Linked DNA regions of Callithrix jacchus. The protein of the gene in region 1 binds, or shares a complex with, the protein of each later gene. Links are inferred from orthologs where the notes say so. Each region holds a gene or a part of one and is shown on either strand. Other genes may lie near its edges.

What was found.
Region 2: the proteins of CNNM3 (region 1) and PTP4A2 are in contact, whole or in part, in a crystal structure (PDB 5K25), measured with the Homo sapiens proteins. The link is inferred for Callithrix jacchus from reciprocal best matches to the Homo sapiens genes CNNM3 and PTP4A2. Residues at the interface, in NP_060093.3 of Homo sapiens: Leu390, His391, Phe392, Val393, Phe394, Asp396, Thr397, Glu405, Ala414, Gln417, Val419, Glu424, Gly425, Asp426, Pro427, Phe428, Tyr429; in NP_001356788.1 of Homo sapiens: Met1, Asn2, Arg3, Pro4, Asp69, Gly70, Cys101, Ala103, Leu105, Gly106, Arg107, Arg134, Arg135, Gly136, Ala137, Phe138, Asn139, Lys141, Gln142.
Region 3: the proteins of CNNM3 (region 1) and PTP4A3 are in contact, whole or in part, in a crystal structure (PDB 5TSR), measured with the Homo sapiens proteins. The link is inferred for Callithrix jacchus from reciprocal best matches to the Homo sapiens genes CNNM3 and PTP4A3. Residues at the interface, in NP_060093.3 of Homo sapiens: Ser357, Asn358, Phe394, Asp396, Lys418, Val419, Asn421, Glu424, Gly425, Asp426, Pro427, Phe428, Tyr429; in NP_001425170.1 of Homo sapiens: Asn5, Pro7, Asp72, Gly73, Ala74, Val105, Ala106, Leu108, Gly109, Arg110, Arg137, Arg138, Gly139, Ala140, Ile141, Asn142, Lys144, Gln145.

The regions. Positions count from the first base shown.
Region 1 is NC_133515.1:6,766,496-6,771,181, reverse strand, and holds part of CNNM3 (metal transporter CNNM3), read right to left. Parts: intron 3,500-4,686; coding exon 3,350-3,499; intron 2,595-3,349; coding exon 2,425-2,594; intron 2,231-2,424; coding exon 2,134-2,230; intron 1,770-2,133; coding exon 1,639-1,769; intron 1,346-1,638; coding exon 1,207-1,345; intron 1,070-1,206; coding exon of another isoform or gene 1,026-1,069; exon of another isoform or gene 888-1,025; intron 1-887. UniProt on the Homo sapiens protein: Probable metal transporter.
Region 2 is NC_133508.1:68,517,097-68,521,201, forward strand, and holds part of PTP4A2 (protein tyrosine phosphatase type IVA 2), read right to left. Parts: intron 3,623-4,105; coding exon 3,492-3,622; intron 1,749-3,491; coding exon 1,674-1,748; intron 387-1,673; coding exon 278-386; 3' UTR 1-277.
Region 3 is NC_133517.1:56,096,358-56,101,043, forward strand, and holds part of PTP4A3 (protein tyrosine phosphatase type IVA 3), read right to left. Parts: intron 4,386-4,686; exon of another isoform or gene 4,275-4,385; intron 2,783-4,274; exon of another isoform or gene 2,565-2,782; intron 1,381-2,564; 5' UTR 554-1,380; coding exon 449-553; intron 1-448. UniProt on the Homo sapiens protein: Protein tyrosine phosphatase which stimulates progression from G1 into S phase during mitosis. Enhances cell proliferation, cell motility and invasive activity, and promotes cancer metastasis.

The DNA.
Region 1 (4,686 bases):
GGGTTAGCGGAGTTAGACATGGAAGTTCCTAGTGCAGTGCGTGGCAGATAAGGGCTTGTCTTCCTCATGGTGGGGCAGGTGGGGGTGCGAGGAAGCAAGCCTGCAGCTCCCTCCACAGCCTCTCCAGAAGCCCCACCGGCTCCTCCAGGAATCCCAAGTTCAGGCATATCTCTAACCCCAACCTTAGAAACTCAGTCAGAATAAAAGTATCTTCTTGAAAAACAAGAACAAGAAAGCCTGACCCTTCACCACTCCTACTCACAGCCGTGTACACTTGAGACTCTTTTCACCTCCCTCCTGGCACTGAGGGGTATGGGGTTTGATATCCCACCACCTCTAGTTCCATCTGCAAAATTTCTTCCAATACAATCTTCCCGCTCACAGTGAAGCCCCGGATGGGTCTTGTTTATTTAAACATCAGCATAAACTGACCAAACTCCTCACAAATGCCCTTCTAATGTCTAGGATGATGTCCACCAGCCACCCACCCTCAGAGCTAGGCCCACTGCTGACTCCAATCTTCACTTACCAAGTGACCTAAACTTAAATGGCCAAAAGCGTCTGAACTGAAACTTACTCCCACTTCCCAGCAATTCTCTGGTTAAGTCAATCCATTCTAAGAGGACCTTGAGAGAAAATACTGACTTACTATAGTCTGAACACCAGTTAGTTTATAGCTTGGTGTCATCCAAGCTGTTAAATACAGCAAGAAGTTCAAATTGAGTAATGAAGAATTAAAAAAAAAAATAGCAAGAAGGGGGCCAGGTACAGTGGCTCACGCCTGGAATCCCAGCATTTCGGGAGGCCGAGGCAGGCAGATCACCTGAGGTCTGGAGTTTGAGGCCAGCCCTGGCCAACACAGAGAAATGTCATCTCTACTAAAAATACAAAAAAATTAGCGTGACTCCGTCTCAAAAAAATAATAGTTGGGTATGGTGGCAGGCGCCTGTAATCCTAGCTACTTCAAGAGGCTGAGACAGGAGAAATGCTTAAACAAAGGAGGCAGAGATCGCAGTGAGCCAAGATCACACCAGTGCACTCCAGCCTGGGTAACAGAGCAAGACTCCATCTAAAAAAAAACAAGAAGGGAAAAGGATGGGAAAAAAGATGGAGGGCAGGGTGGGACGGTGAGAGTGCAAGTCTGTGTGTGCAAGTTCACAACCCCTGGGTCTAGACACAGTGCACGGCATACCACTCAGCACTCACCTGCCGCTATGGCTGTCTTCTCACCGAGGAGCCTGGTCTGGCTGCCTGGGATGACCTGCAGGTCAGTGTTCTCGGGGGATTGTGGCAGGTTCTGGGCTCGGGTAGCCAGGAGTGCATTGAGGTACTGCAGCCGCGTAACCTAGAGGATGAAAATATTACTAGCAGACCCAACTGGTGAAGTGAGACACAGAAGGTAGACAGGAGAGTCCACACCATGCCAGAAGAGGACAGAGGAACAACTTTAAGCTAGTTAAGGGGAGAAGAGCAACTGAGTCAAGTGTTTTTAAGACCTTGCATGGAAACTGGGTGCAAAGGTCTGTGTCCCTCAGGATGAGCACAGGACCTTGCTCTGGGCAGTCTCAGACAAGCTGGTAGCCCCCAGTGACACAAAGTCAGCTAAAGTCAGCACCCATGAGCAGCCCAGGCAGTCACCTTGATGAGCTGCAGGTCAGAGAGCGCCCTGACGGTGTAGTCGGGACAATATGTAGATGAACGCATGCCGTCTGGCTCAGGCTGCAGGTCATGGCGGATGGGCTGGAGCGAGGACACCGGGGACTGGTGAACTATCAAAGGAACAATCAGTGATGGCAGAAGCCAGTGCTGGCAGCTGGGAGCCCCCTCCCCTGGGGGGGAACAACTGCACAGTTTTGAAGACCAACCCCACCAATCACCCTGGAGAGGCAATGTGTTAGGAAGCCGAGAGAGGATGATGAACACAGCTGGGAGAGGTTTCGCAGGGGTGGAGTGAGCCACAAAGACGAGTGATGAAGAATGCTGCCCTCCCTCCCGGAAGCCCACCTTATGGGGTGGTGGGCTCAGGTGGAAGGGGAGGCGAGGAGGGGCATTGAGAGCCGAAGTGACAACAAGCAGGGACAGACTCCGCAGCCTCGATCCTAGCCCTCTGCGCCAGCAGGGGCCGAGGCTTACCCGAGGATGGCACGGTCAGGGCCGACACTCCATAGTACGTGAAGGCCCCATTCTCAAACTTCAGGCCCTCTTTCCCGATCTCCACTTCAACCCTGCCCTGGGAGAAAACAGCAGGGAGAGAAACAGATGTGGCCAGATGGCCCTTCCCATCAGAAGACAGCGCAGAGAGAAACCCACAAACTCAACTGTTTCGGGGTAGGGAGGTACCTTCATGCCCCTACTACCCTCTTCTCCCAGACATTTCCCTGGCCTGAGGAAGCAGGAGGCTCCAGGCCTGGTACCCACAGCTACCTGTAGGATAAGAATGAAGTAATCCACCGGTTGGCTACGCTGGTACAGGTAGTGGTGTGTGGCCAAGCGGTTGCTGTCGTCAAACCTCACTTCCTGGTTGACGCTGGGATGCTTCAGCAGGTGCAGCAAGACCTTCTCAGAGATGCGCAGTGGGCTGAATACATCCACTTCTGCCCGTGGTGGAAAAAAGGGATGGTGTCCACCAGTGCCTAGTGGCCCATGGAACCACACCCAACACTTTAGGCAATTTCAAGTTACTGTGCCCACCGGGGCTCTCCTGGATAGCCCATGAGCAGCTGTCCCCCACCCCCAATCTCAACACAAGAGAACTAGACAGGGGCTGGGCATGGTGGCTCATGTCTGTTATCCCAGCGCTTTGGGAGGCCAAGGCAGGCAGATCACCTGGAGTCAGGAGTTCAAGACCAGCCTGGCCAACATGACGAAACCCCATCTCTAGTAAAAATACAAAAATTAGCCAGGCGTGGTGATGCACGCCTGTATTCCCAGCTACTTGGGAGGCTGGGGCAGGACAATCACTTGAACTTGGAAGGTGGAGGTTGCAGTGAACCGGATTACACCACTGCACTCTAGCTTGGGTGACAAAGCAAGAACCTGTCTTTAAAAAAAAAAAAAACAAAAAAAACACTGCACAGGGCACCCCACATCCACCCAGCTGAGAGCTGAGGCCGCCTGGCCGTGGCACACCAGGTGTGGCACTGCCCTGGCCCTGTTCTTGGCGGTCTGGCAGAGAGGAGCTGCCTCTCCCAAGACTCAAGATGCTGGCATGGCTGCAGAGAACACGGAGGTCCTCAAGATGTGCCTGCTTTCGAGGAATGGGGAGTAGAGTTAGTGTCGGCCCCGAGCAGCCTCCTGACCCATAGGACAGTGAGGAGAGCAGGGGGCATGGACCACCATCCCGCCTCACCTCGGGACAGGAAGCGCTGGGTGGCCAAGAGCAGCTGAGGTGAGATTTTTACTTTATATTCATCATCAGACACCTTGAACAAGGAGAACTCCTCCTTCCGCTTGAGAGGGGCCATCAGAGAAGCAGGCTTCCTCCTTACCACGGTGTCTCCTAAGGTGGAAAAAGAGGGCACACTCAGGCATCAGCCACCTGTCAATCACGACCACACCAAGGAGTGGTGTCGTCCTCTTCTTCCTCCTGAGGCCAGCAGGGACATGTCCTCAGCACCATTCCCTCCATGGGGCCTGCTGCCACCCCAACCACATGGACGGCTCCTTGCCTTGGAGCTGGCTGAAGAGAATGCTGATGTAACAGAGCAGCTTTTATAAAATAACAGGACTCCCCGATAGGTCACTGGATGTGGACCAAAATTTTTTTAAATTTAGGCCAAATGTAGTGGTTCACACCTGTAATCCCAGCACTTTAGGAGGCTGAGGTGGGAGGGTCACTTAAGGCCAGAAGTTCAGGATCAGCCTGGGTAACATAGAGAAACCATCTTTACAAAAAATAAAATAATTAGCCAGGTGTGGCGGCATGCGCCTGTATTCCCAGCTACTCTGGAGGCTAAGGTGGGAGGATCCCTTGAGCCTAGGAAGTTGAGGCTGCAGTGAGCCATGACTGCGCCACTGCACTCCAGCCTGCGTGACAGGGCAAGACCGTCTCAAGAAATAAATAAATAAATAAATAAACAGGTGTCCTTGGCCACTGAGCGCTACTTCTCACTAAAAGTGTGTATTCAAGGATTACCAGTACACAAGGGCTGCAATTAACCTGGAGACCCCATGCCTATGGTAGTCTCATGAACAAGACTAAAGATGTTGTGATTGAAAACTGATGCATGAGTAAAGCGATACTTTTGAAAGCGTGTGGGGCAGGCAGCCCAGCCATGAAGCACAGGCTCTGTGCTGCCCTGCAGACCTCAACCACCAGCCTAACAGGCAGACACTTCTACCATGCAATCAAGGGCCCTGGGATCAGCTGCTTTGAGAAGACTTTCTTTATGGTAAAGAATGGGTTCTTTCAGGGGACATTTCTGTAATGTAGAAAAGAACCTGCAAAAACAAAAGCACTTAGGGAGACAGAAGACTGGGAAGAGCCATGAAGGGCAGGGCCCTCTCAGTAATGGAGGAAACAGGATGGCAGCTAATGGAGTCCCAAGCGAGCTCTATGATTGCAAGGCCACCGCTGGCACAGGCTACCATGCTTGTGTGGAGGTGCAGGCATGAGCACATCTTGAGGACCTCCGTGTTCTCCTACAAGGGGGCTCCCTGCCAGCACCCATGAAGGGCTGAGAAGGG
Region 2 (4,105 bases), on another chromosome or scaffold:
ATTCAATCCTGGCAGAAATTCAAATTCCAAAACTAGGAGCAAAATCATCCTTCACTGAATTAATTCCTTTTCTCTTTCTCTTTCTTAAACATTTTATTCATTTTATAGAGAGATTTCTTTTTTGTTTGCTTTTGTTCCAATCATTAGGAGAGTGGTTGAGGAGTACTGAATCCATCACTACTTTGATGACACAGGTAAGATTCCAGATTCACATTTCCAGGTACCAAGAGTTCCCTCCAAATGCCACAATCAAGTCAACCTTCTTTTATATTTCTTTCTACTGAACACAGCAATGCCCATTGGTATCTCTGAAGCGTAATCGCATCTTAGGTCGGTATTTCTCCAAGTAAAGCAGCTGTTTAGAATTGAATGCTCCCCTTCTTTTTCTGAAAATACAAGAATAGCAAACTTTATCAGGTAAAAAAAGAGCTGTCTGATTCACTGAAATGCATTATTTATGTCCTAAGGCCTTTCTAATTCCACACAGCTGAAAACCAGCACATTTCTCACACTATAACACTTCTTTTTTTTTTTTGAGACGGAGTTTCGCTCTTGTTACGCAGGCTGGAGTGTAATGAATGGCTTGATCTCAGCACACTACAACCTCTGCCTCCTGGGTTCAGGCAATTCTCCTGCCTCAGCCCCCTGAGCAGCTGGGATTACAGGAATGCGCCACCATGCCCAGCTAATTTTTTGTATTTTTAGTAGAGACGGGGTTTCACATGTTGACCAGGATGGTCTCGATCTCTTGACCTCATGATCCACCCGCCTCAGCCTCCCAAAGTGCTGGGATTACAGGCATGAGCCACCGCGCCTGGCCAACACTTCTTAAGAGCTAAGTTGCAACATGAACTTTGAGTCCTCCTAGAAGAAGGAAAAGAAAAATTTTCCTTGCTGACCATCATTATGGCCTATTAACCATTTAATAAAGATCAGAATAGTTTATCCAGAAATATCTGACTATATTCTTCCCAATTAGATTGATATATTCTTCAGATTAGAGTTGGTAGCAAATATTTAGGATGCTAAAAAATAATAAGATAAAGAAGCAGGCTCAAGACATACACTGATGACATTCCTTGAAATGTGTTACCTTCCTAAAGCCGCTACCATATATTATTTCATGCTTTCTGTCACAAATAGTCTCTTCTTTGGTTTTCATTTTTTAAATGAAAGGTTCAAAGGGAAAGGGCAAGACAAAAATTGTCAAATAATTCTGGATAATAAAATGGAAGACTCATTATTCCAGATGCCAAGATCCTGTCTGGGCACTACCATCCTGATTTTGTGCCTGAACAGATCACTTAAGAGACCCAGGTGATTAACTGCTCCTCTATACATTCTTCTTGCCTCCTCCTAATAGAGAACTGCATTTGGAAGGTATTTGGAATCTATTAAAAGGGGCATTTTCGAGATTCCTAGATATTCAAACAATATACTGGACATATTCTATAATGTCCAAATTTGCCACCCAAATTAGAAAGTCTTTTAAATCTGGAAGCCAGCTGTACTGAGTCTCTATCACTTGCTCTAAAGTTTTTACATCTTCAAATAACACTTTAAGCCAAAGAAAGTAAATTATCCCACACTACAAATGAATACCCACTTCCATAATTCCTTCCTCATTCATGATCTTCCTTTCTGTATTTCTGAACACAAAACTTCATACTCACTGTCTTATAAACTGAACTGCATCTTCGTACTTCATTCCACATTCAATCAAAGCAAGTGCAACCAGCACAGGTGCCCTGCAGAAAGAAACCTGTATGTAAATATCCATAAGTCTTGGAGTGAAAGAATTTTTAAAGATCCATAACTTCATATTACCAAAGCAAACCATAAGCTTTCTTTTTTCTTCTATGCTAAAGTAGCCAATACCTACCTAATACAGTAAATATAACTAATCATTATAAATTCTATGATTTTTGTGTGTGTGTGGAGGAGACAGGGTCTCACTCTATCAAGGAGCTGGTACTACAGGGGCCTGCCACCATGACCAGCTATTTTTTTTATTTTTAGTAGAGATGGGGTTTCTCCACGTTACCAAGTCTGCTCTTGAAATCCTGGGCTCGGCTGAGCACGGTAGCTCAAGCCTGTAATCCCAGCACTTTGGGAGGCCGAGGCAGGTGGATCACGAGGTCAAGAGATCGAGACCATCCAGGTCAACATGGTGAAACCCCGTCTCTTCTAAAGATACAAAAAATTAGCTGGGCATGGTGGCGCGTGCCTGTAATCCCAGCTACTCAGGAGAATTGCCTGAACCCAGGAGGCGGAGGTTGCGGTGAGCCGAGATCGCGCCATTGCACTCCAGCCTGGGTAACAAGAGTGAAACTCCGTCTCAAAAAAAGAAAAAAAAGAAATCCTGGGCTCAAGTAATCTGCCCACCTCTACCTCCCAAAGTGCTGGGATTACAGGTGTGAGCCACTGAGTCCAGCCTGATACCTACTTTTAGTAAAGCACTAAATTCTAAACCTTAAGAGATCTTTACTCTTTAAAATATCATATTATATATTAAATTTCTCATCACTATATATTATCAAAAATTCTTCATTGGTCTTTAGCCATTATCACAGTAAAATAAATGGCCAAACATATTATGTATCTCCAGTGTCAGAATTTTCATTACCAACTGGTTTTAATATTTCCTTATTAAATGCTAAAAAGTTGCTAGACTTTTTCAAGAACTAATGACTAAGAAAAGTTCTCTTTTTTAAAAAATTTAACAGAGGAAATATGTTTTTATAAAGCCCATTACAGGGCCCCAATTTTGGACTACCTAAAACTAGGATAGTTATAAATTTGCCAAGTTACAACATTATCTTCAACCTTCAGGTTAAGGACTAAAACTTCTAACCTTATAAACAAACAGTATTACACTACAAAAAAGGAAAATAGCAAACAAAAGGCCAGCATAGAACAGCCTGAATCACCACCACCTTGAGGCAATGGCAGCCTACACCAATATTCTGAATCAAAATGTGCATCCTAAATTGGCATTTAATCTGCTGTTGATGATAGTGTTGCAACACCATTTCAAGGAATGCTCAGGGAAAAGGGTTTTAAGATCAAAGTCAATTCTTGTCCATACATCTCCTTTCAAGAGTTTAAAGTTCAGATATCTGCTCTCTACCTATTAACTTCCCATTCATCTCAATCCAAAATTAACCATGTATAGACTCATCCAACTCTAAAATTACTTTAATTTTGTTGCCTATTTCAGTGACCTGAACTTTTGATTACTTGAAATAGGGAGACAAATAAAACACTCACAGGCTAAATCCAGGCTGGCATCAGAATCAGACAACCAGATGAAACGACAAGACTGTTTTCAAAAATCATTACACTTGTTTTTCTCTCATTTCCTTGCCTTTCAGGTAATTTAATGTTATTTAGTATAATATATGAAAATGTCTACCAAAGTGAAACTTTCAACTAACTTAGGCATGTTAATAAATTCACAGACAAAAAGGGTAATAAGGGTAAGAGTTTACCTTCCCAATCCCGCAACACAATGCACTGCAACACAGCAACCTGGCTCTTCACGGAATTTGGTTTTTAACAGGTTTAACCAATCATCTACTATCTGATTAGGGGGTGGAGCTCCATCATCAAATGGCCAATCCTAGAAGGAAATCACTTTTTACATTAAATTGATATTTTCTCCAAGATTAACATAATAATGCAGAACAGCTGCATACAGTACATATGGCAGGCCTAACTGAAATAAGCATACTATCCACACCTATTTTTAACCCAATTCTGATCATGGCTGTAAAATGATCCAGGACTGAAATTAAAGCCTGCCAAATAAATTAGCCTTCTCAATGAAGTATAGTCAGTGTCACACACATCTAAATTTACCAAAACTTACATAAATCTCTTTATCAGAGTCATAAGAGCTAGTGTTCTCCCAAATATTATATCCAAATATAGTAGTAATTAGACATAATAGACAAAACTGTAATTAAAGCCAAGACAAAGTAAGAGAGGACATAGCACATGTCAACAGGATTTTAAAGTCCACTCTGGCAAAACGTACCAACTGGTGTCTCATTGGTCTCCACAGATAATTGAAGATTATCCCCTAGATAACTAGTTATGATAT
Region 3 (4,686 bases), on another chromosome or scaffold:
CACCTGCTTCCCCATAAGCAGCCACTTCTCACACCAGGGCACCTCCTGCCCGCTCAGCCTAGGCACAGATGCCAAAAGGAAAGCAAAGGGCTCAGGAGGGCCCCAGCCCAGGCCACAGCTGAGCGTGCAGAGCCTGGCCCGTGTACCCCCGGCTTCACCACTTGCCTCTATCCACGTGGCGTGGAGTCCCTCCTGTCACACGCCAGCCCCCTGCAGGCCCCCTAGGGACCCAGTTGATCCCCCAACACCCTCACCCCCGAGGTCCCAAGGCATCCCCACGTCCCTCCTCCAGGACCCTGTAACGGGGCACTGAGCCCTGCTCCAAGGCCGTGAGCCCTGTCTAGCCAGCCAGGCCAGTGGACCCCTCTTGAGAGGCCTGAGCACAGCTCAGCTGGGCTTCGCTGCCACCTTGGCTGGACCTGCCCACCCCGCCGCCATCTGCACTCACCTCAATGAAGGTGCCGAGGCTGGCGTTGGTGGGGTTGTGGGTGATGAGGAAGCGCATGTGTTTGTAGCTCACCTCCACTGGGGCCGGGCGGTTCATCCGAGCCATGGCGCCTCCAGGGCAGAGAGGGGCTGCAGGGAAGGCTGGGGACACAGACCTGAGAAGTCCCCACGCACCCCCCAAAAATGAGGAGAACGAGATCCCTGTGCTTGTCCAAGAGAAAGAGATCTTTTTAAAAACCCACCCCCACACCCCGCACAAATATTGTGCAAATAACTTGGGCGTGGGGGAGGAAGCTGCCCAGAGTTTGGATAATTAAAAAAGAAAATCCAACTCTTAAAAAAGCAAAGGAACAAAACAGCCCCCCAAAGTACTGTAGGCAACTCCAAACTCCTGTCTCTCAGAGAGGGATAGTCATAAAGGGGCAAAAAATAAAAAGAACTACCAGAAAAGCTCAGCAAAGAAAACTTAAAAACCCAAAGGAAATCCAGCCGCCAAGCAGTGTCCAGAGCTGGACCCCACGCTGGGGGCGCCCTCTCCACATCGGTGGATGGGCAGACAGCCTCCTTCACTCAGAGGTGGTCCCCAAGCCCACAACAGCCAGAGTAAGAATGAACTTGAACTGAGCCAACTCCAGCACCCTTGGGCCAGGGGTCACCGGCAGCGGCCGCGGGGACAGTGGCCTCTGATGTGCAGGGCCTCTGTCATGTTACCCCATCGGGGTATGGTGAGTCCTGGAGGGGGACAGGGGGCTCAGGCAGTAGAGCTGGCCCCAGGCTGGACAGCAGAGGCCATCGGCAGTCGAGGGCAATGGTGACAGCCAGCAGCACGGGGACCCTCAGCAGCAGGCTCTGGGACCTCGGGTGCAGCAGTGCTCAGGGCTGGACCCCGCAGCCCACTCCATGAATCCCAGGCGGGTCCACAGCACACAGCATCTGGGGGAAAAGATGAAGAAAATTAACAGAAAGGGATCACAAGGGGTCACCCCACCCTCCCATGAGGGGTTCAAGCCTGCCCTGAGCCCACAGTCAGAGGCGACACTTCTCCTGGGGCCTCCTCCTGACCATGCTGAGTGACCCTCTTAGGCCTCAGTTTCCCTACATGGGAGCACAAGGAAGAACGGCTCCTACCAGGACTGACCCAGGCCTGGAGGCAATAGGGCAGCTACCATACAGCCAGCAGGGCATAACGGAGGACACAGGGGACAGGGATTTCAGATACACACACACCCCCAGGACATGCTAAACCCCAGCACACAGAGGACAGGTCCCTCTAGGGTGACAGAGACCAAGCTCCCCTAAGAAGCCTGAGCCTGGCCCCTGCCAGCCCGCTCTGATCTACGGAAAACCCACCCAGGACAGCTGCCCTCTCCTCTTCTGATTCTTGGCCACTGCGAACATCTGAGCCCAGGTCTCTCTGGGTGGCCCATCCTCAGGGAATGGGGCCCAGGCACTCAGTCAGTGCTGCCAGCACAAGGAGGTGAGGGGCCTGAGCCCACAGGTGGCCAAGGGCCAACTTAATCGCCCGTTGCTTTCTGCAGAAATTCTCCTTCCTGTCAGCAGCCCCCTGCCTGCCAGTGTCCCCCAGCCCCTGTGTCTCCACCGCTCACACAGGGCTCAGCCAGACTCAGGGGATAAACAGGCCAGGAGCTCAGGGAGGCGGGGACAGACAACACCAAACAGGCCAGCCGTCAGGCACACATGCCAGGGTGGCGACACCACAGGTAGCCAGGAGCGGGTTCACACGGTGAACAGCCCTAAGAGGGAGGCTGCAGGGGCGCCAGGGGCGGCTCAAAGTAACTCCACACCTGCCTCTCCCCGTCTCTGGGTCTCATGGCCCCAAAGCTCCCAGGCAAGGGAGTCCCAGGAGCGCACAGCCCCCTCCCCTCTCTCCGGAAGAGCTCGGACACCTTGTGCGAGGCGCTGGCCTCTTTGTTACCCCATTAGCACAATGATGGGCCACAAAAGATCCCTCCAGCGGTGACCCAGCTGTTAGCAGACCCTCCAGCCCCCTGGACTCAACCCAAGCCCAGCCCTGTCACTACTGCCTGCCACTCAGGAAAGGCACTTCAGGCCCCTCACCCGGCAGAGCCCTCCATCCCCCAGCCCACCCCTCTCACCTGTGCCCCTGCCCAGCACCCCTTCCCGGCTGCCCACCAGGCAGGCCAGGTCACTGGAGCCTCAGCCCAGGTGCAGGGAGGGCACAAGGCCTGGGCCCCCGGACTCGGAGGGTGGCTGGCGGGGACGGTGGGCTCCGCCTTGCCTGCCCTCCACACTCTGCGCGGTAGCCAGTGCTGCGGGCTCAGAGCAGGCGCCACATCTCATGTTCTTCCGTTGCCTGGTTCAGGGAAGGTTAAAATAGGCAGTGGCATGGGACCCCCAGAAGGAGGTAAAGGTGGAGACAAGGATCCCGTCCCTGGTCCTGCCAGCCCCCACCCAGCCCAGCTGGAGCCAGCACAGGCTCTGAGTGCAGGTGAGGGAAGCCACCAAGCACGAGCAGCACACAAACACCCAGGTCCCTCCTGGGGCAGCAGGATGTCCCCGTGTGCGTGCGCGCCGGGGCGAGCTCATGTTTACAGAAAGAGAAGAGGAAAACTGCCCGAGAAACCACGTTCCTGGGGTCGCCCCCTGAGGAGCCGGCCCAGCTCTCATGCCCAAGGCTGCCAGGGACCCCAGCAGACCCCACAGGAACAGCACATGGCCTGGCACCGCCGCCCAGTGGCCCCACTGCCCAGTGGCAATAGACAGGTCCTCAGGGCTGCAGGTTGCTGGGCAGGGAGATGGCTCTGAACCACCCCACACGACCACCCACCTGAGGCCAGAGGATGCCATGCATCCTCCCAGCTAGAATGGTATCAGGGCTCCAGGGAGAGGTTGGACTGGGCTGGGGTCTTGCCACACACCCCACTTGGCTCCGCAGCCTGGGGCCCCACCCCTGCCCAGCTGAGAGTAAAGCAGGGAGCCCCCAGCATGACTGCGGGACTCTGCCCTGCCCAGTGGCTACTCCCCAGAGAGGACACCCTTCCCTGACCACATGCCCCCTGAGCACCGGGGAGGGCCCAGAGAACAAGGATGAAGGATCCCCAGCGATGGGCACTCAGTGAAATGGGGACAGGCTGCCCCGGCCTCCATATGTTATAAGTCTCTGCCCAGCCCGAGGCCACAGCACAGGGCCCACAGGCAGCCTCAGCCCCTCCTTCCCTCCTGCCACCAAGCCCTGCAGCCCCTTCCCAAGATCTGGCTCAGTCTCCTCGGACCCGCAGGCCCAGGGCCTTCAGCTACTTTCAAACCAGTATCTTCTCAAGACCCTTTAAGCGAGAGTCCATCCCTGTCCCTGTTTGCCAGATGAGGAGAGAGGCCAGGGAGAGGGGAGGACAATTCTCTGGGCCCAGGCCAGACCAAGCGTCCAGTTAAGTGGGTTCTCTCTGGCTCCAGGCTAGGAGGCAGGAGCAACACGGATCCCCGTACAGAAAAGGAAACTGAGGTTCAGGGAGGCTACCACCCTCCTTCCCGATGGCAAAGCCGGTTAAGAAGTTTGAATCCAGTGTGAATCCAGCGCCCTTCAGAGAGGGCCCCCCTGGGATACTGGGGAAGAGGCTGGAGGCCCGCGGCTCAGTGGGTCCCAGGAGAAGCAAGGCTGGACCGTAGGTAGGGCTGAGGTGGGTGCTCTGCGGAGTTCCGAGGGACTAGGCGCCAATGACGTCCTGGTAAGGGGCACAGCCCCCTCCCTCGGCACCAGCAGGGCTCCCGCCCAGCCCTCTGGGGGGCACCACCTCCTCCCCGGCGGGGCTGGGGGCCCGGAAGGCAGCGTCCCCACCCACTAGGCTCACCCACACTGCAGGCATCCCGCCGTTTCCATGTGCGCCTGGCTGAGGGGTGCCCGTGGCGCTGGGCCGGGGGCAGGGCGCCGCCCCTCCACAGTGGAGCTGACTCCAGGCACTGCTGCCGCTGCCGCCTGCAGCTATTTATAGCGCCCAGGCATCACGTGGGGGGCGTGACCGGCGGGCGACCTGGCTGCCAGGGGCTCCCACACCTGCCGCCTAAATATAGCCGCGCCCCGCCCGGGAAACAAAGGGGCCGCACAGGGCAAGCGCAAGGAAGAGGAAGCCCAGCCAGGAAGGGGAAGCGTGGGGTGTGGCAAGGGCCCGGACCCCTCCGTCCTCCCGCTGGGCCTCTCCCGGTGTCCGTACTCCCTAGAACCTCGGGGCTCTCCCAGACCCCCTCCTGGGGCTTCTCTGGACT